Linked DNA regions of Macaca fascicularis. The protein of the gene in region 1 interacts with the protein of each later gene in a pairwise test. Links are inferred from orthologs where the notes say so. Each region holds a gene or a part of one and is shown in the gene's direction. Other genes may lie near its edges.

Evidence for each region.
Region 2: the proteins of ZBTB8A (region 1) and DDX6 interact in binary tests that used the Homo sapiens proteins (3 or more experiments, as listed by UniProt). The two-hybrid records come from large-scale screens. The link is inferred for Macaca fascicularis from reciprocal best matches to the Homo sapiens genes ZBTB8A and DDX6.
Region 3: the proteins of ZBTB8A (region 1) and TRIM41 interact in binary tests that used the Homo sapiens proteins (3 or more experiments, as listed by UniProt). The two-hybrid records come from large-scale screens. The link is inferred for Macaca fascicularis from reciprocal best matches to the Homo sapiens genes ZBTB8A and TRIM41.
Region 4: the proteins of ZBTB8A (region 1) and ZBTB48 interact in binary tests that used the Homo sapiens proteins (3 or more experiments, as listed by UniProt). The two-hybrid records come from large-scale screens. The link is inferred for Macaca fascicularis from reciprocal best matches to the Homo sapiens genes ZBTB8A and ZBTB48.
Region 5: the proteins of ZBTB8A (region 1) and ZNF276 interact in binary tests that used the Homo sapiens proteins (3 or more experiments, as listed by UniProt). The two-hybrid records come from large-scale screens. The link is inferred for Macaca fascicularis from reciprocal best matches to the Homo sapiens genes ZBTB8A and ZNF276.
Region 6: the proteins of ZBTB8A (region 1) and ARMCX1 interact in binary tests that used the Homo sapiens proteins (3 or more experiments, as listed by UniProt). The two-hybrid records come from large-scale screens. The link is inferred for Macaca fascicularis from reciprocal best matches to the Homo sapiens genes ZBTB8A and ARMCX1.
Region 7: the proteins of ZBTB8A (region 1) and KIF5B interact in binary tests that used the Homo sapiens proteins (3 or more experiments, as listed by UniProt). The two-hybrid records come from large-scale screens. The link is inferred for Macaca fascicularis from reciprocal best matches to the Homo sapiens genes ZBTB8A and KIF5B.

What each region holds. Positions count from the first base shown.
Region 1 is NC_088375.1:202,482,153-202,486,508, reverse strand, and holds the start of ZBTB8A (zinc finger and BTB domain-containing protein 8A), read left to right. Parts: upstream 1-1,468; 5' UTR 1,469-1,540; intron 1,541-1,768; exon of another isoform or gene 1,769-1,799; 5' UTR 1,800-1,900; intron 1,901-2,428; exon of another isoform or gene 2,429-2,783; intron 2,784-4,356. UniProt on the Homo sapiens protein: May be involved in transcriptional regulation.
Region 2 is NC_088388.1:117,619,353-117,623,063, reverse strand, and holds part of DDX6 (probable ATP-dependent RNA helicase DDX6), read left to right. Parts: intron 1-73; coding exon 74-202; intron 203-1,748; coding exon 1,749-1,865; intron 1,866-3,016; coding exon 3,017-3,080; intron 3,081-3,711.
Region 3 is NC_088380.1:188,328,742-188,332,370, forward strand, and holds the end of TRIM41 (E3 ubiquitin-protein ligase TRIM41), read left to right. Parts: intron 1-632; coding exon 633-863; intron 864-1,376; coding exon 1,377-1,399; intron 1,400-1,597; coding exon 1,598-1,725; intron 1,726-2,139; coding exon 2,140-2,741; 3' UTR 2,742-2,899; downstream 2,900-3,629.
Region 4 is NC_088375.1:228,293,258-228,297,411, reverse strand, and holds the start of ZBTB48 (zinc finger and BTB domain-containing protein 48), read left to right. Parts: upstream 1-1,328; 5' UTR 1,329-1,435; exon of another isoform or gene 1,436-1,451; intron 1,452-1,841; 5' UTR 1,842-1,910; coding exon 1,911-2,600; intron 2,601-3,404; coding exon 3,405-3,646; intron 3,647-4,154. Other genes in the region: TAS1R1 (taste receptor type 1 member 1), read left to right, coding at 1-882. UniProt on the Homo sapiens protein: Plays a critical role in transcriptional regulation and chromatin remodeling. Acts as a regulator of telomere length. Directly binds the telomeric double-stranded 5'-TTAGGG-3' repeat.
Region 5 is NC_088394.1:85,668,130-85,671,840, forward strand, and holds part of ZNF276 (zinc finger protein 276), read left to right. Parts: intron 1-1,841; coding exon 1,842-1,952; intron 1,953-2,020; coding exon 2,021-2,096; intron 2,097-2,417; coding exon 2,418-2,535; intron 2,536-3,711. UniProt on the Homo sapiens protein: May be involved in transcriptional regulation.
Region 6 is NC_088395.1:108,200,965-108,205,205, forward strand, and holds the start of ARMCX1 (armadillo repeat-containing X-linked protein 1), read left to right. Parts: upstream 1-1,249; intron 1,250-1,561; 5' UTR 1,562-1,564; coding exon of another isoform or gene 1,565-1,615; intron 1,616-1,737; coding exon of another isoform or gene 1,738-1,785; intron 1,786-2,162; coding exon of another isoform or gene 2,163-2,227; intron 2,228-3,403; coding exon of another isoform or gene 3,404-3,525; coding exon 3,526-4,241. UniProt on the Homo sapiens protein: Regulates mitochondrial transport during axon regeneration. Increases the proportion of motile mitochondria by recruiting stationary mitochondria into the motile pool. Enhances mitochondria movement and neurite growth in both adult axons and embryonic neurons.
Region 7 is NC_088383.1:32,780,758-32,785,245, reverse strand, and holds the start of KIF5B (kinesin-1 heavy chain), read left to right. Parts: upstream 1-1,536; 5' UTR 1,537-1,988; coding exon 1,989-2,114; intron 2,115-4,488. UniProt on the Homo sapiens protein: Microtubule-dependent motor required for normal distribution of mitochondria and lysosomes. Can induce formation of neurite-like membrane protrusions in non-neuronal cells in a ZFYVE27-dependent manner.

The sequences.
Region 1 (4,356 bases):
CGGCTAATTTTTTTCTATTTTTAGTAGAGACGGGGTTTCACCATGGTCTCGATCTCCTGACCTTGTGATCCGCCCGCCTCGGCCTTCCAAAGTGCTGGGATTACAGGCGTGAGCCACCGCGCCCGGCCAAGCAGTCAGAGTTTAAGAGACTAGCACTGGTTAATGATGGAGCCCCAACATAGAGAAACAAGCTCCCAAAGCTAGCAGAATGAAGATGAGGGACAAAACTGTCATTACCTCTTCCTTGCAACAAAGTTTTTTGTTTGTTTGTTTGTTTGTTTGAGATGGAGTCTTGCTCTGTCACCCATGCTGGAGTGCGGTGGCACGATCTCGGCTCACTGCAACCTCCACCTCCTGGATTCAAGCCATTCTCCTGGTTCAGCTGCCCCAGTAGCTCGGATTACAGGCACGCACCACTATGCCCAGCTACTTTTTATATTTAGTAGAAACAGGGTTGCACCATGTTGGCCAGGCTGGTCTCGAACTCCTGACCTCGTGATCCGCCTGCCTTGGCCTACCAAAGTGCTGAGATTACAGGCGAGAGCCACCGCGCCCGGCCACAACGAAGAGTTTATCACCAACCTGATGTGCTCTCTTGAGGAATAAGTTTGTGGAACTCTTTTGCATTAATCTTTAATTAAGGCTAAAATCAAACCTTTGGCTATAACCATGTCCAGGTCTTTCTGGGGGAATTCTCAATGGGGGGCGCTAGCAGAGTAATCTGAGTACATCCAATATACCTGATACCTAATGGTTTTCAAATATGTTTCTACTTACCTGTTCAGAAGGCAAGGAAACACAACTAAATAGCAAAGCACCTCTGCAGTGACACAGAAGTGACATTAAGAGACAATTGTGAAGATCTTGCATCCTCAAAATGCATAATTATTCCTGAAATCAAAGTTACAGACTGTCCAATATGACTGATTATGAACAGGAGAGGAATCCATTAAAAGCTAAACCCAAGTTTTGATAATTTGAACCTTTTTCCTCCAGTTTTACTATAACACAGTACTTTTCAGTACCTGACCCCAGCATAAGGAACTAGGAAACTAATTTATAGAAGTAATGCTTCTATAGTAACAGTGAAAATCCACTGATTTACTATTTTAGCAAATGTATAATCTGATATCTGTACTCTAAATATTAGAGATGTAAATTTGTCAGAGGAAGCTTGGTATACAATGAATGCTTGTATTGGAAAAGACGGAACTTGCTGTTTTTACTAATTTTGTATTTCTCTGGACTTAAACTAGGAATTATGTTCTCTTAGCTTCTCTGGGTTTTCCTCTTCAAATGAAATGCTTCTGACCTGTAGAGGTTTAGAAAAGGTTATCCTCAACTAAAATAACTGCTTCAATACAAGGGAAAATTCTGTGGAAATCTTTTGCATTTGACGTTGCTAAACTTAAGTACAATAATGTCACATGTACTTATACAGTAATTGTGGGCACGCCTAAGTCCCTCCCTCTTTCCTAAACCAAATTCCCCAGATCCTAGAAATCCAGCCCTTCTGCCCTCCGGAGGCGCCTTTCCCAACGTAAAGTACAATTTTAAATTTCAGCTCCTGACTAAAATCATGATCCGCAGTCAACTGCTAGAGAATCTGGGCACCCCGGTGCCTCTGGAGCGTGCAGCGGGTGTGGGCAAGGGCAGGGGGAGTGGGCGAAGCTGCTGGTTGGTGCCTGAAATCTGTGCGTTGCCCCTTTAATTGTGTCCCCAGCCCTCGGGCGTTTCTGTCCAACGCCCACGTCAGCAAATACCTTTTGTTTCTCTCACGTTGGGGCTACTTGTTTTAGGGCGCAAAGGAACGGCCTCGAAAGGGGGTCCTTCCCCAGCCGAGAACCAAGAATCTTCCCCCGGCCCGCGCGCGCGACCGGCCGGTGCGCCGCGGCCCGCGGTAAGTGGCGGCGCGCGGCGCCGGCGGAGGGCGGGCGGGCGTCGGGGCTGCCCGGGACCCGCCGCGAGCCTGGCCGCGGGCGGAGGCGCCGCGGGCTCTCACGGCCCGGGCGGCGGCGGTGCTGAGATGCGGGCCCTGGGCGCGCCTCCCCAAGACGTCCCCGGGCCGGGAGCGCGGCGGGAGGCGCCGAGGCGAGCGGGCGCCATTTGCAGCCCGGGGCGCAGCGGCGGCGGCGGCGGCGGCGCCGGCTCCGAGGGGCTGTGGGCGGCCACGGAGGACGCGCGGGCGGCGGCGGCGGGCCGAGCCCGGGGCGGCGGCGGGCGTTGGTGGGCACCGGCTCCCGGCCGCCCCTCCCCGCGCCCGGCCGCGCCGCCCAGCCCGCCAGGCCGGCCCCTCCTGCGCGCCCGGGAGGGGCTGCGGGACAATGGCCGCGCCGTCGCCGCCCGCGCCCGCCTAGCCGCCCGGCCCGGCCCGGGGAAAGGCGGGAAGGCGCGCGGAGCCTCCTGGCGGCGGCGGCGGGAAGGCGGCGGGGACGGCGCCGGGCGTGTCTGGAGCCGTCGAGCGCCGCGGACTCCGGAGGGGCTCGGGCTGCGCGGCGCAAAAACGGGCGGCCGCCGGGGGGGCGCGCGAGGAGGGCAGGGCCGGGGCCGGAGCCGGAGCCTCTGCGGGCGCGGCCAGGGGCGCTGCCGGTGAGCCTGGCTCCCAGGGCAGTAGCCCGAATTTCTCGGTACAGCCTCCATCCTTGGTTTTATGTCAAGATGCGACATCGGGGCTTAGAAAACCGAGGGCTAACTCACCGCGCCTAACCAATGTTGAGCTCCAACTATTTGCTTCTGGACGGAACCGTACATGCTCATCTCTACCCATGCTGACCGCCTCTTTTGTGAGTTAGTCAGCGGCTTGTTCCCTTCCCCTTCAGATGCGCTTATTTATCGCTGATTGTTCCAATGGCCCTACTCCACATCATTCTGAGACGCGTTTGGAAGCGGTAGATTTACACACACACCTGGTGGGCTTCTAACCACACGTCAGTATCACTATGCTTGATAAACCTTTATATTTGCACAACTTTAAATGGATTGCTTTCACCTATATGAATTATTTCACTTAATTTCACATAAAACAACCACTTAGGCTGACGGTAATTCCACTTTGCAAATGAGGGAACACGTGTGAAGCATGGCGTTTCACCTCTAGGCCAGGGTGACATAGCCACCCAGGACCTCCTGTTCCCGTCCTGCCTTCCCTCCTAAGGTACCTCCAGAGGAGTCTTTAGAAGGGCCAATCTTACACAGCGCTTCCCTGCACTGAAAACCTTAACTGATCTTTTTCAGGAAAGCCTCCAAAATCCCCAGCAAGCTTCTGCTCCAGTCTTAATCTCCTCCATGCCTCAGGTATGGATGCATTTGTGGACTGGAGCAAGAGCCCCTCACTGATAAGCAGGGATCAGATGTCTTTATTCCTGGGAACCTCTCTGGCCACACAAGTGGCAACTGGGAAGTGAGAATCTGGCTTAGGGCCCTTGACCAAATGGGTGTCTGGGTGGATTGTGCTCAAAAATGTCAGCAGGAGGCATAATGAGTAGGGACTCCAGGAAGGAGGCCAAGCCACTAACCCTTATCTCCAAGCCCTGAAATCACCAGCTTTGCTGTTGATAATGATTTGAGGCCATGAAAAACTTTGTAAGATAGAGTAATATTGATTCATCCTGTATCATTTAAATATAATTTTTAGATACAACTATGTCTAATAGATTTAACTCAGTGACACAATGATATGTTAATCATATTTAAAGGATTTGATGTGTTTGATTCCCTTGAATGAAGCTTTTGTTACTTTTGTGCTCAAAATTGGTCAGTGGTTCCCCATCTTACGCAGTTTAAAAGCCAAAAGCTCCATAATAGTCTATGCAGCCTTACAGCATCTGGTCTCACTATGTCCTACTTCTCTCATGATTTGCTTTCCCTTTCTGACTTCATATCCCATTGCTTCCCCGCTGCTCACCTCAGGGCCTTTGCGCTTGCTTTTCCCTTTGCCTGAAATACTGTTTCCCCAGACACCCACATGACTCTTACTTCCTTTGGACTTTACCCAAATACCATCTTCTCAATGAGGCTTTCCCCAACTATAGTTTTGATTCTCTTAAGTGTTTTTATTCTAAATCTTTTCTGTCTCATGCCATTTGTGCAGCTATAAAAATACTTTGGGACTGGGTAATTACACAGAACAGAAATTTATTTCTCACACTTCTGGAGGCTGGGAAGTCCAGGCAGTTTGGTGCCTAGTGAGGGCTGCTCTTTGCTTCCAAGATGGCACCGCGTTGCTGCATCCTCTGGATGGGAGGACTGCTGTGTCTTCACGTGGCAGAAGGGATAGAAGGGCAAGAGGGGCCAAACTCACTCCGTCAGGTCCTTTTATAAGGGCGTTAATTCCATCCATGAGGGCGGAGCCTTCGT
Region 2 (3,711 bases), on another chromosome or scaffold:
GGGTATATTTTGAATTTGAGATGAACTCTGCTTTCATTTAAGAAGAACCATCTTTTTTTTTCTCCCCTCCCAGAATTCCCATTTGCAGAAACCCTATGAGATTAACCTGATGGAGGAACTAACTCTGAAGGGAGTAACCCAGTACTACGCATATGTAACTGAGCGCCAAAAAGTACACTGCCTCAACACACTTTTCTCCAGGGTAAGAAGTAGGCTTCTGCTGTTGAATATTATCTCTCGAGTCCCAGTAAAACAGATTATTTCATCAGTTTTCCTACCATCTTCACTGTATAAAAGTTCATAGTGTTTCTGGCTTGGCGTGGTAGCTCATGCCTGTAATCCCAGCATTTTGGGAGGCTGAGGCAGGCGGATCACGAGGTCAGGAGTTCGAGACCAGCCTGGCCAACATGGAGAAACCCCGTCTCTACTACAAAAAAACAAAAAAACTAGCTGGGCGTGGTGGTGCGTGCCCATAATCCCAGCTACTTGGGAGGCTGAGGCAGGAGAATTGCTTGAACCCAGGAGGCAGAAGTTGCAGTGAGCCAAGATCACGCCATTGCACTCCAGCTCTGGGCGACAGAGCAAGACTCCATCTCGGGAAGGAAAAAAAAAGTTTTTAAAAAATTCATAGTGTTTCCTAAAAGGCAGTTTTAATTGTTGACCTAAAGTTGATACTAAATGATTAACAAGTCACAGATACACTTTTGAATAGTTTCTGAAATACTTAGACCTTTACTAGGGTTAATACTCATTATTCACATATTCTGTATTTGTGAGTTTGCTTAGTCACTAGAATTTATTTGTAACTCCAGAATTAATACTCAAGGCAGTTTAGCAGTCATTTGTGGACGTGTACAGTGTGGCAAAGAGTTTAAGTCACCTGACACGCACATACCCAGCTGAGGTTGAAGAAGACAATGCTCTGTCCTCTTGTTTAGCTCTCATACTGTGAACAAGTATCCTTTTCACTGTGCCATATTTTTCAAATTTTTGTTGCTGATTTCACGGTTTTAATTGACCCCTACTCATGGTGCTGAAGTGCTGCCCAGTGCTAGTGGCATTGGTTGTGAGTATATTAAAGATGTTCTTGGCTGGGCACGGTGGCTCACACCTGTAATCCCAGCACTTTGGAAAGCTGAGGTGGGCAGACACCTGAGGTCAGGAGTTCGAGACCAGCCTGACCAACATGCTGAAACCCCGTCTCTACTGAAAATACAAAAATTAGCCAGGCATGGTGGTGGGTGCCTGTAATCCCAGCTCCTCAGGAGGCTGAGGCTGGAGAATCCCTTGAACCCAGGAGGTGGAGGTTGCAGTGAGCTAAGATTGTACCATTGCACTCCAGCCTGGGCAACAAGAGTGAAACTCCATTTCTCTCTCTCTCTCTCTCTCTCTCTCTCTCTCTCTCTCTCTCTCTCTCTCACACACACACACACACACACACACACACACACACACACACGTATTCTTAAATGGAAAAACAAAACATAACTACTTGGAATCAGATAATCAATTGTATTACTCTTGTTGACAGTTATGTGGCCCTTAAGAAATATACTCTAATACAATAAATCTTAGATATTATTATATTCCATCTATTAAAGTACTTAGAATTTACCATCTCTCTCATATCATAAGATTCTAAATTTTAGACCATGTTAATGTTTCTTGTTTGCTGGTTAGTGTTTTCAAGATTTGGCAAGCCAAATGAAGGTTTTAATTTTTCTCATACTTATTTTTTCTGTGCTCAGCTTCAGATAAACCAGTCGATCATTTTCTGTAACTCCTCTCAGCGAGTTGAATTACTAGCCAAGAAGATTTCTCAACTGGGTTATTCTTGCTTCTATATTCATGCTAAAATGAGGCAGGTGAGTATAAAACTAGAACTTGCACAAATTTAACAAGAAATCTCTGATTTTATTTTGTTTTAATGTTCTTTTAAATGTCCTGAGTTTAAGAATAAACTGTTCCTTAGTAGCCAAAGGACCTTTCATTTTGACCTACCTAAGGTTCATTTTCTAGCAATAAAATAGAGATAATAGTACATATTCATAACTTACAAGGTAGTTAGGAAAATTAAGGTAAATGTTTAAATTTGTAAGCTGTCAGGCATAATACAAATGTAAAATTGTATTCTTCCTTTCATTCCCATGTTTAATTCTCTGTTTAATCCAGTAACCACTAGCCACATGTGGCCATTTAAATCAGTTAAAATTAAAATAAGGCCGGGCGTGGTGGCTCAAGCCTGTAATCCCAGCACTTTGGGAGGCCGAGACGGGCGGATCACGAGGTCAGAAGATCGAGACCATCCTGGCTAACACAATGAAACCCCGTCTCTACTAAAAATACAAAAAAATTAGCCGGGCGAGGTGGTGGGCGCCTGTAGTCCCAGCTACTCGGGAGGCTGAGGCAGGAGAATGGCGTAAACCCGGGAGGCGGAGCTTGCAGTGAGCCGAGATAGCGCCACTGCACTCCAGCCTGGGCGACAGAGCGAGACTCTGTCTCAAAAAAAAAAAAAAAAAAATTAAAATAAAAAGTCAGTTTCTCAATCACAGCCACGTTTCAAGTGCTCAGTTAGGCACCTGTTGCTGCTGGATACTGTATTGGAAGTGGAAGTACAGACACAAACATTTCCTTTATTACAGAAATTTCTACTGGACAGCATTGCTCTGGATTTTTAAATATGGCCCCTCAGCTAGCTGATTTTTCTTTTTTCTTTACTGTTTGCCTTTAGAGAAAGATGCAATGTCTAAATTTCAGAATTTGATTTAGCAAAAAATAATTTAAAACTTAACAAAATGACTTTTTGTTAACTACATTATGAAATTTCGTAAGTAAACAGTTTCTGTAGATGAAGAGATCAATAACTTAACTCATATTTGGTTTTGAAAGCAGCTTAATGTCATGGATCACTTATAAACAGGTTTTGGGTAGAACCGATCGACTAGGAGAAATAATCATGGGAAATTTGGGGCTGTATATGAGTGCTAATCAAATGGAATAAATTGCTTTCTCCTAGGAACATCGAAATCGTGTATTTCATGATTTCCGAAATGGCTTATGCCGCAATCTTGTTTGCACTGGTAAGTATTTTTGTATTTCCTTTACCCAGTGTTTTTCTCCCAAGTTCTTTTTTGCTTTCTTTGTTCATACTGCACGGTGCACCCTGTGACATAGTCCAGCACACCCTACCAATACTTCTAGGATTTCTTTTTTTTTTTTTTTTTGGTGGGGGGGGTGGATGGAGTTTGTGTCACCCAGACTGGAGTGCAGTGGCATAATCTCAGCTCACTGAAACTTCCACCACCTGGGTTCAAGTGATTCTCCTGCCTCAGCCTCCCAAGTAGCTGGGATTGTGGGCACCCGCTGCCACACTCAGCTAATTTTTGGTAGAGATGGGGGTTTCACCATGTTGGCCAGGCTGGTCTTGAACTCCTGACCTCAGGTGATCCGCCTGCCTCGGCCTCCCAAAGTGCTGGGATTACAGGTGTGAGCCACCGCGTCCAACAGTTGGGCTTTTAAAAATCATTACTTGCTTGCAAGGTTTCTTCAGATAAGTTCTTGAAGGACCAATACTGAAGGGCATATATAAAATACCACCCCTTTGGGGGAGTGTGGTTTAATTGGAGAGATAAAAAGGTAAACATTAGGAGTCTAAGGAAGCGCCCACATACTTTTCCTATGAAGTGCCAAATAGTAAATTTTTTAGAGTTT
Region 3 (3,629 bases), on another chromosome or scaffold:
TGATCTAGGGCTTTTGGGTGACTTTCTTAAGGTCACTGTGTTTAATGGTTTCGGGACCCTAACTTTATGTCTTGATTCTTGTATTCTTTTATTTATTCATTTCAAAAAATTTTTACCAAGTGCCTCTTCTGGTTGGCGCTATGTCAAGGTCCGAGGACACTGTGGCAAACAAAGACATTCCTAGTCCCTGCCAACCGGAGCTTATGGTACAGTGGGGGAAAGATGTTAAAAGATATGTCATTTAAACACAACATTTCAGTGTCGTATGTGCCACAAAGAGATACAGGGAATTTGTGGGGATGGTCCTGATTTAGATCTGGAGAGGAGGGAAGGCTTCTTTTGGAATATTTAAGGTTGGACCTGAAGGATGAGTCAAGGTATGTAGACCAGGTGGAGAGGAGTGTTCCAGGCAGAGGTTAGTGAGTTTGGGGCCACTGTGCTGGGTGCAAGGGGTGGTATCTGGTAAGGCTGAGAAGTAAGGCCGGTAGGAGATGAGCCTCTTTCCAGGACTTTCTTGGACTTGGGGAGTATAGGGCTCCTTTGCCTTGCGTTGAGAAGTGGTAGTTGCAAAACTGGAGGTTATCTTCCTGTGTGTTGAGGTGGTATCTGTCATCCCCTTTGCACCATTCCAGAGCCAGATGAAGTCAGAGCTGGCAGCGGTGGCCTCCGAGTTTGGGCGGCTGACACGGTTTCTGGCTGAAGAGCAGGCAGGGCTGGAACGGCGTCTCCGAGAGATGCATGAAGCCCAGCTGGGGCGTGCGGGAGCTGCGGCCAGTCGCCTTGCAGAGCAGGCTGCCCAGCTCAGCCGCCTGCTGGCCGAGGCCCAGGAGCGGAGCCAGCAGGGGGGTCTCCGGCTGCTTCAGGTGAGCAATGTCCCCTCCCTGTTCCCCCAGCACTCCGTGTTGGCTGTCAGGCAGTGCTTACCAAACACCTGTCCAGAGCTGCCTCTTCTCACTGGGAGGAACCCACAGTGATTGAACCTGAAGACCAAAAACATGTTTTAAAGCTGGAAACAGTTAATGTCGAATGTGGTATGTGTGACGATTATACCAGTGAAAAGCATGAAGATTCGGTTGTAGGAGAGGTTTAAATGACAGTTGAGGAAAGGCTTTTTGACAGTGACATCCTGAAAAAGGTGAGCAGGTCATATTGTGGAAATGACAGGATTGGTGGGCTCACAGCAGGAGAGGCGAGTTAGGCATGGCGAGGCATGGGGTGGTTGAAGTGGATGTGTGTTCACTGAGGCCGTGAGCGTGCTGCCTCTCCCTTCCTGCTTAGGCTCAGTCTCTGACTGGAGATCGGGAAAGCTGTGCCTGTGCAGCTGACGCTCTTTATCTCTTTCTCCCTCTCCCTCTTTTTGTTTCTCTTATTCCCAGGACATCAAGGAGACTTTCAATAGGTGTGTTCCCGCTCTTTGCCCTTTGTGACCCAGTGGCATCTGGTTCCCGTCCCTGCTTCTCTTGGGTATCCCTCTCCTCTCCTTCTTCCCCAGGACCTGAGTTTCCATCTCCTGGACCCTCCTCTCCTTCCCCTCAGCTTTTGCTCTTCCCTCTGGGAATATCATGGTCCCACCCCCTGCCCGGTCCCCTTCCTCCAGGTGTGAAGAGGTACAGCTGCAGCCCCCAGAGGTCTGGTCCCCTGACCCGTGCCAACCCCATAGCCATGACTTCCTGACAGATGCCATCGTGAGGAAAATGAGCCGGATGTTCTGTCAGGCTGCGAGAGGTAGGGAGGTCACCTCCACGACCTTCCTTTGCCTTTCCCTTCACAGACCTGAGACTGGGTCCTGAGGGAAGTTGGGTCCCAGGGAAAGTGTAGGGGTTGAGATGGAGCAGGATACAGGCAGCCACTCAGGTTGAGGTTTCAAGCCATTAACAGGTAGTCCTAGTCCAGGCAGGCCTGGAGGGTGGGGGTGGGGTAGAGTGGCAAGAAGAGCCAGGCTGGGGGAAGACCTGTCAGGTGTCTGAGGAACAAGAGGAGAGAGAGGGAGCCTGTAGGAAGCTGAGGCTGGCCTCTGGGATGGTGTGGGGAGCTGAATTCAGGGAGGAAGCGGGCAGGAAAGGCCCAGTCTGTGGAGTTGGCTGCTGACAGGGGAACAGCCGTTCCAGCCCTGGCGTATTTGTCCTCCCTCCTCCCAAGTGGACCTGACGCTGGACCCTGACACGGCTCACCCGGCCCTGATGCTGTCCCCTGACCGCCGGGGGGTCCGCCTGGCAGAGCGGCGGCAGGAGGTTGCTGACCATCCCAAGCGCTTCTCGGCCGACTGCTGCGTACTGGGGGCCCAGGGCTTCCGCTCTGGCCGGCACTACTGGGAGGTAGAGGTGGGTGGGCGGCGGGGCTGGGCGGTGGGCGCTGCCCGTGAATCCACCCATCATAAGGAAAAGGTGGGCCCTGGGGGTTCCTCCGTGGGCAGCGGGGATGCCAGCTCCTCACGCCACCACCATCGCCGCCGCCGGCTCCACCTGCCCCAGCAGCCTCTGCTCCAGCGGGAGGTGTGGTGCGTGGGCACCAACGGCAAACGCTACCAGGCCCAGAGCTCGACAGAACAGACGCTGCTGAGCCCCAGTGAGAAGCCACGGCGCTTTGGCGTGTACCTGGACTATGAAGCGGGGCGCCTGGGCTTCTACAACGCAGACACTCTGGCCCACGTGCACACCTTCTCGGCTGCCTTCCTGGGCGAGCGTGTCTTTCCTTTCTTCCGGGTGCTCTCCAAGGGCACCCGCATCAAGCTCTGCCCTTGATTATCCTGCCACCCGCGGGGGCCCCTCTGGTCAGCACTTGGGGGGCGGGTGGTGGAGGGTGGCCCGTAAGTTTGAGGGGCTCAAAGGCTCTTCCCACTGTTTGTCACTGTGTTGCTTCCCACTCCCCCTTGACCCCAGGCCCCTGCTTCTCCCTCTAGGAGCCTAAAGAACCCTCCTGGCCTCCAGCCCGGCCTTCTCTCACCTCCTATGTCTGTCCAGCAGGTCTGCATGGGTCCCTGATAATGAGAACAGCTGCCTGGTCTTCTCTCCCAGTCTGCCTAGCCCAGCCCTGGGACCGGAATTTGAGTAGGGGATGAGGGGAAATTGTAATTTCATTCCTTAAGTTCCTTTTCCCCACCCCTGCTCTTCAGCCTCTGTCAGTTCTGAGGCTGGAGGGTTTGGGCAAGACAACATCCCCATTCCAATTCCATCTTCTGATGCAAATTTTAGCTGAGGGATTTGGAAGCCATTTGGGGAGGCAGGCTGGGCCAGAGGGTAGAGCTGGGTAATAAATGTCTATTCTCTGGGGGAGGAGGGATTCTAAACTTTCCTTCCATCCTCAATTTCTACCTCCATAGACCGGCCAGAATTTAGCTTCACTTGAGAGAGATCTGGAATGGTCGCCATGATTGAAACCACGCACCATTACATCGCCCAATAAATTATTTCTTCCCCCGTCCCCTTTCCAGCACTCAACTGAGGAGCAAAGCTCATCCCACCCCCACCCCTCCCAGGTCTGTTCACTGCCAGGCTCCTTTCCCTTGTTCAGTGGAGCTGGCTTTTCTCCCAGCCCCTTTCCATGCCTTTCATTCCATTTGGCAAGCCCTGAGGGGGAGCCTGGGGACGGGTTTGGGTCCCCAAGAGGAGAGCCTTGGGTATAATCTATTT
Region 4 (4,154 bases), about 26 Mb from region 1:
AGCCAGACCTGCTTCCCACGCACTGTGGTGTTTTTGGCTTGTCAAGAGCACACCTCTTGGGTGCTGCTGGCAGCTAACACACTGCTGCTGCTGTTGCTGCTTGGGACTGCTGGCCTGTTTGCCTGGCACCTAGACACCCCTGTGGTGAGGTCAGCAGGGGGCCGCCTGTGCTTTCTTATGCTGGGCTCCCTGGCAGCAGGTAGCGGCAGCCTCTATGGCTTCTTTGGGGAGCCCACGAGGCCTGCATGCTTGCTGCGCCAGGCCCTCTTTGCCCTTGGTTTCACCATCTTCCTGTCCTGCCTGACAGTTCGCTCCTTCCAACTAATCATCATCTTCAAGTTTTCCGCCAAGGCACCTACCTTCTACCGCGTCTGGGTCCAAAACCATGGTGCTGGCCTGTTTGTGATGATCAGCTCAGCGGCTCAGCTGCTTATCTGTCTAACTTGGCTGGTGGTGTGGACTCCACTGCCCACTAGGGAATACCAGCGCTTCCCCCATCTGGTGATGCTTGAGTGCACAGAGGCCAACTCCCTGGGCTTCATACTGGCCTTTCTCTACAATGGCCTTCTCTCCATCAGTGCCTTTGCCTGCAGCTACCTGGGCAAGGACTTGCCAGAGAACTACAACGAGGCCAAATGTGTCACCTTCAGCCTGCTCTTCAACTTCATGTCCTGGATCGCCTTCTTCACCACGGCTAGTGTCTACGACGGCAAGTATCTGCCCGCGGTCAACATGCTGGCTGGGCTGAGCAGCCTGAGCAGCGGCTTCGGCGGGTATTTTCTGCCCAAGTGCTACGTGATCCTCTGCCGCCCAGACCTCAACAGCACAGAGCACTTCCAGGCCTCCATTCAGGACTACACGAGGCACCGCGGCTCCACCTGACCAGTGGGGTCAGCAGGCATAGCTGGTAGCTTTCTCTGTCCTGAGGGTCGAAGGTCAAGCAGGCCAGGGCTGTTTGGGAGGCCTTTGGGCACCTCAGTCTGGGGTTGGGACGTGTAAGCGCCCGGGAGAGCCCAGACCAGGCTCCGGGCTGCCAATAAAGAAGTGAAATGCGTATCTGGTCTCCTGTCGGGGAAGAGGGTGAGGTGCCGCGGATTCAAGTCTGAACCCAGAACCTGGAAAAGGCTTGGTGCCCAGCTTGACGTTGCTAGGCAACCCCGGAGGCGGGCCCAGCGCCAAAAGAACAGGGCGTGGCCTCATCCCCTCATCCCATTGGCCGTTCTCTGCGGGGCCCCGCCCTCGGGTGCCGGAGCTAGAAGATCTACGCTTCCGAGGCGCCCCTCCTGGCCGGCACGCTCTGACGTCACGTCCGGCGCGGAGACGGCTGCGTCTCCGCACGGTCGGCGGGGCACGCATAGCCGGGCAGTTGGTTCGTGGGCTGTGGAGGCGACGGAGCCGGGGGCTGGTGGGGCCAGCTCAGGGAGGACCTGCCTGGGTGAGGAGGGCACGAGGTGAGGGAGGGAGGGGCTGCGGGCCGCCGTGGCTGCCTTCCGCTCGGCCGCTCGGGACCTGTGGGCGCGGCGTGGGCTCCGCTTACCTGTCCGCGGCCGCCGTCCTCCCCAGTCCAGGATCCTCTCACTGTGCCAGGCCAGTCAGTTCGCGCTCATCCCGTGCCTTCTTTCCCCAAACTTGGATTTTTCCCACCAGGCCCTTCTTCATGACCCTGACCCCCCCATCAGCATCCCCCCTGGCCAACCCAATATGGCCCCCGGTCCCCGGGAGGCTGTCAAGTATGTTCCTGCCTTCCGCGTGCACCCCTCACCTTGACCCAAGCCCTCGTGCTGATAAATGTGATTATTTGAGTGGAGGCCAACTTCCCCTTTCTCTCTCTTCGACTCCAGGGGCTTTCTCTTGCATACGCTCGCTTGGGCTGGCCAGGGTGTCACTTCTGCCTCCCTGCCCTCCAGACCATGGACGGCTCCTTCGTCCAGCACAGTGTGAGGGTTCTGCAGGAGCTCAACAAGCAGCGGGAGAAGGGCCAGTACTGCGACGCCACTCTGGACGTTGGGGGCCTGGTGTTTAAGGCGCACTGGAGTGTCCTTGCCTGCTGCAGCCACTTCTTCCAGAGCCTCTACGGGGATGGCTCAGGAGGTAGTGTCGTCCTCCCTGCTGGCTTCGCTGAGATCTTTGGCCTCTTGTTGGACTTTTTCTACACTGGTCACCTCGCTCTCACCTCAGGGAACCGGGATCAGGTGCTCCTGGCAGCCAGGGAGTTGCGAGTGCCAGAGGCCGTAGAGCTGTGCCAGAGCTTCAAGCCCAAAACTTCAGTGGGACAGGCAGCAGGTGGCCAGAGTGGGCTGGGGCCCCCTGCCTCCCAGAATGTGAACAGCCTCCTCAAGGAGCCGGCAGGCTTGCAAGAAGAGGAAGTTTCGAGGACTCTGGGTCTAGTCCCCAGAGATCAGGAGCCCAGAGGCAGTCATAGTCCTCAGAGGCCCCAGCTCCATTCCCCAGCTCAGAGAGAGAGTCCCTCCTCCCTCTGTGGGAAACTCAAGCAGGCCTTGAAGCCTTGTTCCCCCGAGGACAAGGAACCTGAGGACTGCAAAATGCCTCCAAGGCCCTTCGAGGCTGAAGGTGGCCAGCTGCAGGGCGGGAGTAATGAGGTACTGTGCCCAGGGTGCTGGGACTGGGGAGACAAATGGAGGGAATAGACACTTTTTTTGGTATAATAGGGACCCTGGGCTGGGTGTGATGGCTCATTCACGTGAGTGGTTCAAGTGGAGGACGACAGGGATGGACGAAGTCTATTTGTAATCCTAGCACTTTGGGAGGCCAGGGTGGGTGTGGATCACTTGAGCTTGGGAGTTCGAGACCAGCCTGGGCAACATGGCGAGGCCTCATCTGTACAAAGAAAATACAAAAATTAGCCGAGTGTGGTGGCACACACCTGTAATCCTAGCTACTTGGGAGGGTGAGGTGGGAGGATCACTTGAGCCCAGGAAGTGGAGGTTGCAATGAGCTGAGATGGTGCCACTACGCTGTAGCCTAGGCGACAGAGCAAGACCCTGTCTCAAAAAAAAAAAAAGTGGACCTTAAGACAATCTCTGTTAATGTGGGTTTGGAACGGGCTTTCTCCAAACAAAGGAAGCTGGTGATCTCAGGCTGACCTTTCTGCAAGCCCCAGCTATTCATGGTTGCCACCTTCCTGAGAGGAGAGTGGGCAGCATCAGGGTTACAGGTGTTTCCCCAGGATAGTGTTTCCATCCGAGCTTCCAGTTCCCCACAAATACAGTCACTTTCCTCTGAATCCAAGACTCAGATGCTCTGCCTTGGGCCCCTGAAGGAACAGTGTCTGATGAAGGGACTTGTCAGGGTTGGGGCTTGGGATGGAACTGGAGCTGGGTCCCTACAACTCCTGCTGATTCATTTGGTGACCCCACCCCCTCCTGCTGCCTATTGTGCTCTAGTGGGAAGTGGTGGTTCAAGTGGAGGACGACGGGGATGGTGATTACATGTCTGAGCCTGAGGCTGTGCTGACCAGGAGGAAGTCAAATGTAATCCGAAAGGCCTGTGCAGCTGAGCCAGCCCTGAGTGCGGGCTCCCTAGCAGCTGAGCCTGCTGAGAACAGAAAAGGTACAGCGGTGCCGGTCGAATGCCCCACATGTCATAAAAAGTTCCTCAGCAAATATTATCTAAAAGTCCACAACAGGTAAACTTTCTGTTTTTCTATTTTCCTGTCTGCCATTCCCGCGTTGGGGGAGGGGTCTTGCACGTCCCACTTCTGGGTGAGGTAGGGGCTGGGGGATCCATCTCAGACCCACATAGTGCCTGGCCTTGGCACACCTCTGGCAATCAGGAAGTGAGAGTCTGCTTTGGGTTAGATTCTTCTTCCTCACTGTCCTGTGAGTACTGTGGTTGGAGATGGGTTTGTGGACATCTTGTCAACAGGTTCCACCCACTGTGGACCTTGACCTTCAGCTGGCCTCTGCGGACAGAATGAGAAACCTGTGGCCCGTGTGCTAGAGCTGAGGCCCAACCTTAGGTGTTTCTGAAGCCCGGCAGTGTGGGCTTGAAGCCTGGCAGTGTGGGCTTTGGGCCACAATGCTGAGCCTTGGGTCAGTGCTACCTGTGTTTCCAGGGAAGTGTTCACTCTGGGGTGTCAGTGGAGTATTAAAGTCCAGTTGTCTAAACCTTCAGTGTCCAGTAAAGTAACCAGG
Region 5 (3,711 bases), on another chromosome or scaffold:
TGCGCCCAGCCTCAGTGCACTCGTTAAAGAGAAGGGCAGTTAGCGATGGGATCACAGGCGTGAGCCCCGCGCCCAGCCTCAGTGCACTCGTTAAAGAGAAGGGCAGTTAGCGATGGGATTACAGACGTGAGCCCCTGCGCCCAGCCTCAGTGCACTCGTTAAAGAGAAGGGCAGTTAGCGATGGGATTACAGGCGTGAGCCCCGCGCCCAGCCTCAGTGCACTCTAAAGAGAAGGGCAGTTAGCGATGGGATTACAGACGTGAGCCCCTGCGCCCAGCCTCAGTGCACTCGTTAAAGAGAAGGGCAGTTAGCGATGGGATCACAGGCGTGAGCCCCGCGCCCAGCCTCAGTGCACTCGTTAAAGAGAAGGGCAGTTAGCGATGGGATTACAGACGTGAGCCCCGCGCCCAGCCTCAGTGCACTCTAAAGAGAAGGGCAGTTAGCGATGGGATTACAGACGTGAGCCCCTGCGCCCAGCCTCAGTGCACTCGTTAAAGAGAAGGGCAGTTAGCGATGGGATTACAGGCGTGAGCCCCTGCGCCCAGCCTCAGTGCACTCTTTAAAGAGAAGGGCAGTTAGCGACAGGGTCTCATGCTCTTGCCCAGGCTGGGGTGCATTGGTACGATCATGGCTGATGGCAGCCTTGTGCGCTCAAGCGAGCCTCTCACCTCAGCCTCCCAGAGTGCTGGGATTGCCAGTGTGAGCCACTGGACTCGGCAGCTTAAATTACTTTTTTCATGCTTTTGCATATGGATTTTTCTTTTAATTTCCTTTTTGGATTGTTCATTGATAATACAAAGAAACATAAATGGGTTTTGTGTATGGATTTTACACTCTGCAGCTTTGCTGAAATCATTTATTCGGGTTTTTGTGTATGTGGAGCTTTAGGGTTTTCTACATACAAGGTCATGTCATTTGTGAACAGGGAGAATTTTTGTTTTCCTTGCCCAGTTACTCTGGCCAGGGCCTCCAGTGCTGTGCTGAGAACAGTGGTGAGAGAACCCGTGTCTTTTCCTCATCCTGGAGGAAGAGCTTTCAGTCTTTCACGATCGAGTGTGGCATGTGCTGTGGGTTTCACGTCGAAGCTTTATCGTGGTGAAGTTCCCTTCTTCTCCTGAGGGATTTCCTTCCCTATCCTTACTGGATCCAAAAAGGAACCACAATAGACATACACTGGACGCTGCTGCATTTGCTGGTCCCTCAGGGACTTGCCAGACCAACTAAAATGCGCAACCCCAAAGTTCTGGAGGACAAGGTCTCCTGCCCACCATGGTCCCAGTCAGCAGCTCCAGGAACACAGGCTGGGCTCCCTGCAGCGGGGGCAGGGCTGAGGAATGCGGGAGTGGCAGCTGCTCACCTTGTGCTTCCGGGGGAAACAGCACCTGTTCCTCCAAAGCCCGGGCTGGGGCTTGAGCTTGGAATCAAGCTGTCCTGGTTTCAGCGAGTGGATTCTGAGCGTTTTCCTAGCGTTTAAGGTCATTTTGATGAAGGGGTAGCCCCTTTGTTCTGCCATCTTTCCTGATATCTCCAGTGTTGGGTTTCATGTGTAGCACAGGATGAAGCTTCAGTTCTCAGAACTCACCCCTGCTGTGCCTGCGCCTTGCCCTCTGCTGTGTTTGCCTCTGACCCTGCTGTGCCCTGCGCCCTCGCCCTCTGTTGTGTTCACCTGAGGCCTCCTGTCCAGAGTTGCTCTGGCTGTGGTGGCTTCAGGTAGATTTTGAGGGTCAGTCAGCACAGAAGCAACTCAGGGAAGCTTCAAAAACATGTCTCCTGTTAAAGACAAGAAATCTTTTTCAGATGGAGATCAGAAACCACTGAATCTGGGAACCTCTTTTTTTCAGGGTCTCTGGTAAGAAGAGTGAAAGCAAGGAAGCCAAGAAGTCTGAAGAACCAAGAATTCGGAAGAAGCCAGGACCCAAGCCGGGATGGAAGAAGAAGCTTCGTTGTGAGAGGTGAGGCCTGGAGCTCGAGGCTCGCCCTGCCTGTCGGGGCCGGGCTCCATGCGTGCTCTTTGTTGCAGGGAGGAGCTTCCCACCATCTACAAGTGTCCTTACCAGGGCTGCACAGCCGTGTACCGAGGTGCTGACGGCATGAAGGTGAGCACGGGCTGTGCCGGACCAGGCCCCGCAGCTGTCCCTGTGAGCCTGGGGCCGGCACCAGGTGTTTCCGCAGAGCCTGACGCAGACTTGTGCCCAAGGTGACTGGGGACCTGGGGTAGATGTGGGGCCAGACTTTCACTTGAGACACCCCCTGGGGGTCTAGAAGTGTCTTGGAGTGAAGCTGTGGAGGAACCAGTGGTGGAGCTGGAGGAGCTGGATCTGCCTTCCTTCCAGGGGCGTCAGCTGCCACCCGCCGAGGGTCCGTGCCGCTCGGCCCGGGTGAGGCTCTGCGGGTCTCTCACTGAGTTTCTCCTGCAGAAGCACATCAAGGAGCACCACGAGGAGGTCCGGGAGCGGCCCTGCCCCCACCCTGGCTGCAACAAGGTTTTCATGATCGACCGCTACCTGCAGCGGCACGTGAAGCTCATCCACACAGGTACTGCCGTCGTCAGCGTCACCCGCGTGGTGACAGCCAGGGGCACGTGACCTGCTTTCCCATCTTCCTGATACCCATCCCCACCCCAGGAGTTGGGGATCGCGTGCAGGTGGCTGATGGGGCCTCGGGTACTCACAGTCATGTAGGTGGATGAAGGCTAGAGTAGGGCATCAGTGTGAATCTGCCCTTCCCTGTGATGGGAGGAATTCCTGACTTCCCCAGGATCTAGGCAGTTTGTCAAAACCGAGAGCCAAGCAATCTTGGTGTCCCTTTGCAAATTGGTCACTTTAGTTTTTAATTTTTTCTGAGATGAAGTCTTGCTCTGTTGCCCAGGCTGGAGTGCAGTGGCACCATCTTGGCTCACCACAACTTCCGCCTCCCGGGTTCAAGTGACTCTTCTGCCTCAGCCTCCCGAGTAGCTGGGATTATAGGCACCTGCAACCACACCTGCTAATTTTTGTAATTTTTGGCAGAGACAGGGTTTCACCATGTTGGCCAAGCCAATCTCTTAACTCCTGACCTCAAGTGATCCACCTACCTTGGCCTCCCAAAGTCCGGAGATTATAGGTGTGAGCACCACACCTGGCCCAAACGAGTGTCTCTTAAAAGGGAAGGCGGGAGGTGGAAGGCATGAAGGCACGCCGACTCTGGGGCGCTGCCCGCGTGGACAGGCGGGAGGCATGTGTGGTTCTGCTGCTTCACGTGTGTGTAGCTCATCTCACTGAGACCGGAGGTGGATGGGGGAGTTGTGACTGAGGGTGCTGTCTCTGTGCCCGTCTTATTTTTCACAATTCCTATAATGTATAAGTTACTTTTATAATCTAACAAGGATATGTTTTCAAAATGACAAACTTGGCTGGGCACGGTGGCTCTCACTGTAATCCCAGCACTTTGGGAGGCCAAGGTGGGTGGATCACCTTGAGGTCAGCAGTTCGAGACCAGCCTGGCCAACGTGGTAAAACGCCATCTTTACTAAAAATGCAAAAATTAGCTGGGCGTGGTGGCGCATGCCTGTAGGCACAGCTACTTGGGAAGCTGAGGTGGGAGAACTGCTTGAACCCAGGAGGTGGAGGTTGCAATGAGCTGAGATCACACCACTGCACTCCAGCCTGGGCAACAGGGAGACACTGTCTCAAAAAAAAAAAAAAAAAATTTGTTTGAACCATGTGGACCCAC
Region 6 (4,241 bases), on another chromosome or scaffold:
GTGGACTAATTCATAGATCATGTAAAAAATCCATTTTTTTTTTTTCTTTTTTTTTTTTTTTTTTTTTTTTTTTTTTTTTTTTTTTGAGACGGAGTCTCGCTCTGTCGCCCAGGCTGGAGTGCAGTGGCCGGGTCTCAGCTCACTGCAAGCTCCGCCTCCCGGGTTCACGCCATTCTCCTGCCTCAGCCTCCGGAGTAGCTGGGACTACAGGCGCCCGCCACCTCGCCCGGCTAGTTTTTTGTATTTTTAGTAGAGACGGGGTTTCACCATGTTAGCCAGGATGGTCTCGATCTCCTGACCTTGTGATCCGCCCATCTCGGCCTCCCAAAGTGCTGGGATTACAGGCTTGAGCCACCGCGCCCGGCCATTTTTTTTTTTTTCTTAAGAGATAGAGGCTTGCTCTCTGTCACCCAGGCTGGAGTGCAGTGGTGAGATCATAGCTCACTGCAGCCTTAAACTCCTGGGCTCCAGCAATCCACCCACCTCAGCCCGCTTTTCAATTTTAAAAATGAGTTATTTTGTTTTAAAAGCTACTATTTGGCTGTAACCAGTAGAAATATTTTCCTTCTGTTACAAATAAAATAACGAAATTAATGAGGCCTTTTGGGTTTTCTCTCCCGTTTAAACTCTCCACTCAAAGGAAGATAGCATCATTTTATTTCCTCAATATAAAAGTAATGCATTACTGATTTAAAAACAAATGAGCAGAAAAGTTTAAATAAGACACTCCCACGATCTGTCTCCTTTTCCAACACCTTGCTCCACATTTTACAGTGGTGCAGAAGAAATATTGGACATTCATGACTGGTGGTGGGGGGAGGTATAGAGAGAGACAGTTGGACTGAGACGAGAGAAGATAAAAAATTATTCCTCGAAGAGGAAGAAAAGGCCAACGGACACGGGAGCAGATACAGCCTCTCCCTGTAAGCCAAAGAAAGGCAAATTCCAACCACAAACGGAAGCTACTTCTGGTCTCCGGGATTGGCAAAGAGGAAAATGAGTGGCAGGACCTGATGTGTCAGGGAAGGAAGGGGAGGGCCGGCTTCTGCGGCACTGCTGATGGGAGTGGTAATTGGGGTCCTGATCTCACGGTTGACGTGGCCCTCACGTGAGCTGGAGCCGACGCGTGCAGACGTCCTTCTAATCTTAGTCTTCGTTTGGTCCGGTTGCACTCTCCCTATTGCCCAGAGGGCGAGAGGGCCTGTGGCCTGGGGGAAGGAGGACGAGGTTACTGCCTGGATCCCAGCAGGTTTGTGTGTGGATGGGCGTTGCCAGGGGATCCCTGCGGCGCGGGCAGTGAAGGGTGGAGGCCGAAGGGGGAGCAGTTCGCTTTCTCCAAACCCTTGCAGTATTCCTGTCCCTTTCTAGAACAAAAATGGTGGACCTTGGGGCCGGATTCCAGGGGCGACCCCAGACTCGGGCGTGGTGGGACCTTTAACATCCAGGGCCTTGAATCAGGGAGGGCAGATATTCGGATTCGTATCCTGTGTGCTGGTCCATCTACCAAGCCAGAATCTTGGGGCTGTGCGTCTGTCTGACAGTCATTCCCCTTTTCTTTCAGTAGGGCGCTGTGCCATTTGGGAACAAAGGAATAGTCTGCCTGGAATCCCTGCAGGTCAGTGTAAAGCTGGGGCTGTCCCGCGGCCCCCGGAAGGACTGGGATGACTGAGGTCCTTGCCTTAACTTGGGCCCTTTACCGACTCTCAAGCAATCTTCCTGCCATTTTTTTTCCTTTAGGAAAAAAGGATGTAACAGTGCCTGCAGGAAAAGTGCTTGTCATTGCGGGTAGGGTGCATTGGGGAGAGGGATAGAAGAGATCGGTTGGTTTTGTTTTCCTCCTCGTGTTTTCCATATTCCCCCCTCGCCCCGCCCCGCCCCGCTTCCAGTGGTTTGAAAGGGGTGTGGTTTTTGCTGGGAAAATGGCCGACCGCTGGGGCTGCGGGAGGGAGGGCCGGAGGCGGGGACCGGGGGTGGGGGAACACTACGTAGCGGGAGGGCTGGTGTCAGCCGAGTCCAGAGAAGTGAGGGTAGGGTGACAGACAAAAAGGTAAACTCCGTTGACAGCCAGGACCCTGAATTAGGAAAAGCGGATGTTGGGACTCTCCGAAGTGCTTTTCTGTCCGCTGAGCCATCAGTTTCTGCCTTGTTGCTTGTGTCTGCAGATCTTGGGGCCAGAGGCCAGTCCAACCCTTGGAGCAGGAAGAAACGCAAAGTTGTCAAGAACCAAGTAGGTCATAATAAGGGTGATGGCATTATTTGGGGGTGGAGCATGGTGGCGACTGCAACTCGAGTGGGCCCGTGGACCCCCTCCACATCTCCCTTCTTCCCTTCTTCCCTACACAATTTCGGATCTTGCAAAATAAATTGCTCTGCAGGTACAAGACAGGGAAGCAAATAGCTGAGAAGGGGTGGGCGTCAAGAGAGTCCAGGGGTTGGGAGGACGTTACTCCAAATTACTGTTTGAGGTACAGTGTCCTTGGTGTTGGTCCGTCGACCAAGCACTCACTTCTGAAGTTTGTTAGTCTTGAAGGTTTAGTGGAAGCAGAAACTGAGGTAAGGGAGGTAAGAAATTGCTCCCGAGCAGAGGTAGTTGGTATAACGACACGGCGGGGGTGGGAGGTGAGTGGGGGTGTCCTGGTACCTTTGAGATGGAGGAGTTGGCGGAGGCAAGGACAGAGTTGGAGACCTTTACGCATTTCACGCCAGTCCGGCTTTTAGATATTCTCACTTCATTTTGTTACAAGGAAAATGTTAACAATGAAAATGTGTGGCGACATCTTCGGAGGATGCCAATGATAAGAGTAGGGGTGGAGGTGGAATGGAGGGTTAGAGGAATCATCGAAGGAGGAAGAGGGAGGGAGACAATGAATTCCAAAGCCGCACCTCGGTGAGGAGTGGAGGGCAACCGAAGGCGGGAAACATCGGGCAAGGCAGTTGTAAAGGGCTAGGAATTCAGAAGAGGGATGTATGTCCCGTCCTGGGTGATATCTGTATGTCCCCCTAGCTCTCGGCACCCCCTCCTCGCGTCCTTGTCTGCAGGTTTGCACGAAGCAGTGCCCTTGGAAGCAAGAAAGAGAAGGAAAAAACTGCCTGGACCTCTGTGGGTGCATGTGGGGGCGCCACTGTTCCCAGGACATCTGAAGGGCAGGATGGCAGGGAACTTTAACATTCTGGGGCGACGTGGTGGAACGTGAGGTTGGAGAGTCTTGAAGTGGGGAAAATTTCCAAACTTAGCTTCCGGATGGAAGAAAGGAATCAGTGATCTAGATATTAAGCCCCGAGTTTGCCAATATATCTGTATTTTTGTACGTTTGTTTGTCTTGCCGTTGTTTCAGTCTGTTTGCGTGGCAAAGACACAAAAGGAGGAGGAGCCTGAAATCTGAACTGCATCCTTTTTTCCTAGGTCAAGCTGCCTCAGAGCCGGCCAGCAGTAGCTGCAGACTCCGCCCGCGACGTGTTCGCGCTTCTCTGGGCCAGAGCGAGCCTGTTCTGTGCTCCGGTTAAGAGATTTGTCCCGGCTATACCATGGGCCGCACTCGGGAAGCTGGCTGCGTGGCCGCTGGTGTGGTTATCGGGGCTGGTGCCTGCTACTGTGTATACAGACTGGCCTGGGGAAGAGACGAGAACGAGAAAATCTGGGATGAAGACGAGGAGTCTACGGACACCTCAGAGACTGGGGTTGAGACTGTGAAAGGAGCTAAAACTAACGTTGGGGCAGGGTCTGGGGCCAAACTTCAGGGTGATTCAAAGGTCAAGCCTGAGGTGAGTTTGGGACTCGAGGATTGTCCAGGTGTAAAAGAGAAGGCCCATTCAGGATCCCACAGTGGAGGTGGCCTAGAGGCCAAGGCCAAGGCCCTTTTCAACACGCTGAAGGAACAGGCAAGTGCAAAGGCAGGCAAAGGGGCTAGGGTGGGTACCATCTCTGGGAACAGGACCCTTGCACCGAGTTTACCCTGCCCAGGAGGCAGGGGTGGAGGCTGCCACCCTACCAGGAGTGGATCTAGGGCTGGGAGCAGGGCAAGTGGAAAATCCAAGGGAAAGGCCCGAAGTAAGAGCACCAGGGCTCCAGCTACAACATGGCCTGTCCGCCGAGGCAAGTTCAACTTTCCTTATAAAATTGATGATATTCTGAGTGCTCCCGATCTTCAAAAGGTCCTCAACATACTGGAGCGAACAAATGATCCTTTTATTCAAGAAGTAGCCTTGGTCACTCTGGGTAACAATGCAGCATATTCATTTAA
Region 7 (4,488 bases), on another chromosome or scaffold:
CCGGGTTCAAGTGATTCTCCTGCCTCAGCCTCCCGAATAGCTGGGATTACAGGCATGCACCATCATGCCCAGCTGCTTTTGTATTTTTAGTAGAGACAGGGTTTCTCCATGTTGGTCAGGCTGCTCTCAAACTCCCGACCTCAGGTAACCCGCCTGCCTCAGCCTCCCAAAGTGCTGGGATTACAGGCGTGAGCCACCACCCCTGGCCAGATCTGATGTTAATGCCTTTACTTGCAGCTCTGCCTTGCTTGGGGCCTCTCAAAACACTGCTTCATTGAAATGTTATCAGAACTCCACACCTCCCAGAAAGCCCCGGGTTAATTCCATCTATTCTTTTGTTTGGTGAGATGCTCTAAGGTTCCTTGAGCTTGAGCTCTTCTTCAAGGCAGTGGATTAATAAACCTGAATCTGTTGAACTCTGAATTGGTTTCTGGAGGTATTAGGATGATTGGGTGAGCACAGGGAGCCCTGGAGGTTTTCATAGTTCAATCCTTCGTTTTACAAACAGAAATTGGGGACCGGGGGAGGAGGTGTTACTGCAGTTCTTCCGCAGCACCTCAGAGCCACTTCCTCAGATCCACTTCCCCGTGGAATTTTTTGGTACTCATCTTCTAAAACTAGAAGGCAAAATCAGCTATGGAGTGGTTTTCCTTGGATATGTAATGCACAAATTTACCTAGGCCTTTTATAAAGACCATCTTTATGCTCCAGGTCAGTCATTCCTCCAGTATTGGGATTGATGAGTTCCGTATGTTCATTGCCGGCGAAGTGGCGGGAATTCGCTGAACTGCGTGGGGGCGGCGAGGGTGCGGGCTGGATACAAGGCACTGGGCAGATGAAGTGACAGAGATGCTGTGTGAGGGGGGCTGAGGGCGCTTCCCCCTCCTCACCCTGCTGTTCCACATTTCTTCAGCAACCTTCTTCATTCCTCAGGAAAATTTTCCTTTTTCTTTCTTATTCCTGTCTCCCTACATCCCACTCTCAGGAAAGAGTTACCCTTCATTGAAATCTTACTTTTTCTGGCAATGCGCTCTAAAAAGGTAGACCAGGAATGATTCCCGCCGCCAGAAAAAAATGAAAGCAACACTTCCTTTTAGGAATATAGTACTTTATGTTTTTAATTTTAAAGCTGGTCAAGTGACACAGCGGGAGTGGAGAAGAAACAAATCTCTGGCTGTCATCAACTAGTTGCAAACACCACCGCACCCGGACCAGCCTAGTGATTTATTTAAACAAACCACATTAAGTAGTTAAAGCAAACCCTTTCTCCCCCAAAGAAAAGAAAGCTAAGTACGTCTGCCTTAGCTCTGGGGGATTCTTCGGCGGCTGGGGATGGCGACTGGGAGCTGCCGCCCTGCGTCCCCAGGCACTTCTGCGAGACGGTCAGTGCTGTAAAATTTGAATCTGCGACTCCTGGCCAGGAGTGGTGGCGGAACCGGCGGCGCGGCAGCAGCGACCGGCTGCGAGCTCGGGCACGGATTGGTCGCCGTGCCTCCCGGCCCACCGCGCCGGCGCACTCCTCCACCCGCGCCGCCCAGTCGCCCAACGGCGGCCTCAAGAGTGATAGGGCAGCAGCCGGCCAGCCGGCCAGCGGACAGCGGAGCGGAGCGGGCGGACGGGTAGGCCCGATCTGCTCTTTGCGAGGAGGAAGAAGGTGGCCACTCTCCCGGCCCCCAGAACCTCCCCAGCCTCCGCAGCACGCCCAGGCCGTCGAGGGCGTCGCTGAGGAGCCGCCGACGCTCTCCCCGGTGCCGCCGCCGCCATGGCTGCCATGATGGATCGGAAGTGAGCCTTAGGGTAACGGCTGCCGGCGCCGGCTCTTCGAGTCCCGGCTCCCCGGCCGCCTCCGCCCGGGGAAGCGCTGCGCTGCGCAGCTGACTGCTGCCTCTCACGGCCCTAGCGACCCCAGGCCCTTAGCCCCGTCGCGCTCCCCGCAAGACTAAGCAGCCGGGAGTGGCTCCCGGCCGCCGGCCCCGGCTGCGAGAAAGATGGCGGACCTGGCCGAGTGCAACATCAAAGTGATGTGTCGCTTCAGACCTCTCAACGAGTCTGAGGTGAACCGCGGCGACAAGTACGTCGCCAAGTTTCAGGGAGAAGACACGGTCGTGATCGCGGTGAGTGACCCCCTCCGGCACCCCTCCTTCCGCTTCTTCGGGCCGGGCTGTGCAGAGAGTTTAGGGAAGTGGCAGGGTGCAGAATTGAAAGGGAGCAGCGGTGTCCCCAGCAATCCCCGGCGGGGTTTGCCGGTTCAGATAACCCAGTGGAGGAAGACTGCGCAGCTTCGCGTGCGTTCCGGGATCGCCCCCACCCCGGTCTTTGGCGCCGGGAGACGGGAGGCGCCCAGCCTCAGCCCTGGACACTCCCCCACCTGCGGCAACGGAGGAACGTCCGGGGAGCAATTTCAGTGCACGTTTGTCTGCGTTTCTGTGTGTGCAATTACGGATATTGGTGTTTTGGATTAACCCCAAATTTGCCATTCAGAAAATATGTAATGCTTATATAAAGTTCAGCTGGGGACATTGAGCTGTGAGACAAGCCGTATTATGCTTTAGTAAAGATACTTAGTTTTATAGAAACATAACCAGTCCTTGAACCGTGTTGTTTCCCCCTGGGAGAAGGAAAAAGCACCAAACAGCTACAAATATTATGTACACCTCAAACTTTCACCCACCACTTTTTGAGTGGTGAATGACTTTTCATGTTAACAATTACAAATGGTAAATGGATGATTGTAGAAAGAAATAGTTGAGCTTTTTTTTTTTTTTTTAATAAATCGGAATGATCAATTTTGTTTAATCTAGCAGACCTAGCCGACTTTGGTTGAGTCAGATAAGTGCTCCGAAAGACAAATCGCACTCTTGCTAGGTTTTATGGGATAACAGCCTAGGAAAAAGTATCAGCTTTTTGTTTTTATATCAAAGTATTATAAAAACAAGCTTATAAAAAAGATAAAAATTGACCAGTATTAGATTCATACTTCTGCAATTAAGGTCTATCTTGAAGAAAATTGATCTTTGGTAATCCCAAGAATAGTGAGATACTGTTTTTTTGTAATGTAAAACATAACTAGAGTTGAGTGATCATTTGAGACCAAAATGTGAGGGTGTTTTAAGGTCTGATCTCTGGCATTGAAAGGTCTGAGAAAATAGCACTCCTAGTTGAAGGAGATTAAAAATTAATTGTAAAGTATGGCATACGAAACAGTGAACTGTGACTAAATTATGTTCATCTTTCTTGGCAATGCTATGTAGTAGAACTAACTTTCTACATTGTTACCGTAGTATGAAATTTTAATATGTTAATTTTTCCTCTAATGTCATTCTGTAGTTAATAATTGTATGGGGCTATTTAATTTGGAAATAGGGCAGAGGTCACAGGAGATGGGACAAGGATGATTGAAAGCATTGACACTGAAGACAGACTAAAGTTCTTTAGGGTTTTGATGTGAAAGTTTCTCCAAAGTTCAGCTCCGAAAAATGAATGTCTTAGCTCCTTGGTAGGCCTTTGGCAAACAAGTCATTAGGCCACTAACAACTGCCAACTATTACTGTGTAAAGATTGTCAGGCCAGTTCTTTGTTAACAAGTGCACAAGAAAACCTCTTGTGTAAATGACATCATAGGTTGGCAGAGGCGGAGTAGGAGTAGTTAAGCGCAGTAATCCTTTTCCTTTAGGATGGTATATTTTACATATAGTCTGGAGGCTTGCAAGGCCTAGATTAGTTGTCACACTTGAGGCCATTAGTTTCTTAAGAGTTTTTGTAATTTACAGTACTCAGCTTCAGCAGTGGTTGGCACATAACAAACCTATTTTTCCTTTTACACTTGTCTTAAGAATGTCTTATTTCTTCAGATTTTGTGTTTACACAGATCTGTAGTTATCACTATGATTCTTTTTGTTGGAATGCTAAAATTTAGGATTCATAAAATGTATTAAGATTAGAAGGTAACCTTTGATGAGGCCCAGATATGACATAAACTATGAAGAAAGAACTAAAGGAAAATGAATAAAGGAAACATACATTTATTCTAGGTTTCCATTGGGAAAAAGTTGCTTATAAGTTCTGTTTCAAAATTTCAGTACTCTATATAAACGGTAATATTAGGAATAAATGTATAGGTTGTTGGTTTGTGAATCCATAATGAACAGTTAACCTTTAGGTAAACTGATAAGCATTTTAGTTGTTTTTTGGTTGGTTGATTTTTTTTTTGAGATTTTTTTGAGTTGAGTTTTGCTCTTGTTGCCCAGGCTGGAGTGCAGTGGGGTGATGTCAGCACACTGCAACCTCCGCCTCCCAAGTTCAAGCGACTCTACTGCTTCAGCTGCCTGATTAGCTGGGATTACAGGCACGTGCCACCACGCCCAGCTAATTTTTGTATTTTTAGCAGAGATGGGTTTCACCATGTTGGCCAGGGTGGTCTAGAACTCCTGACCTCAGGTGATCCACGTGCCTCGGCCTCCCAAAGTGCTGGGATCACAGGTGTGGGCC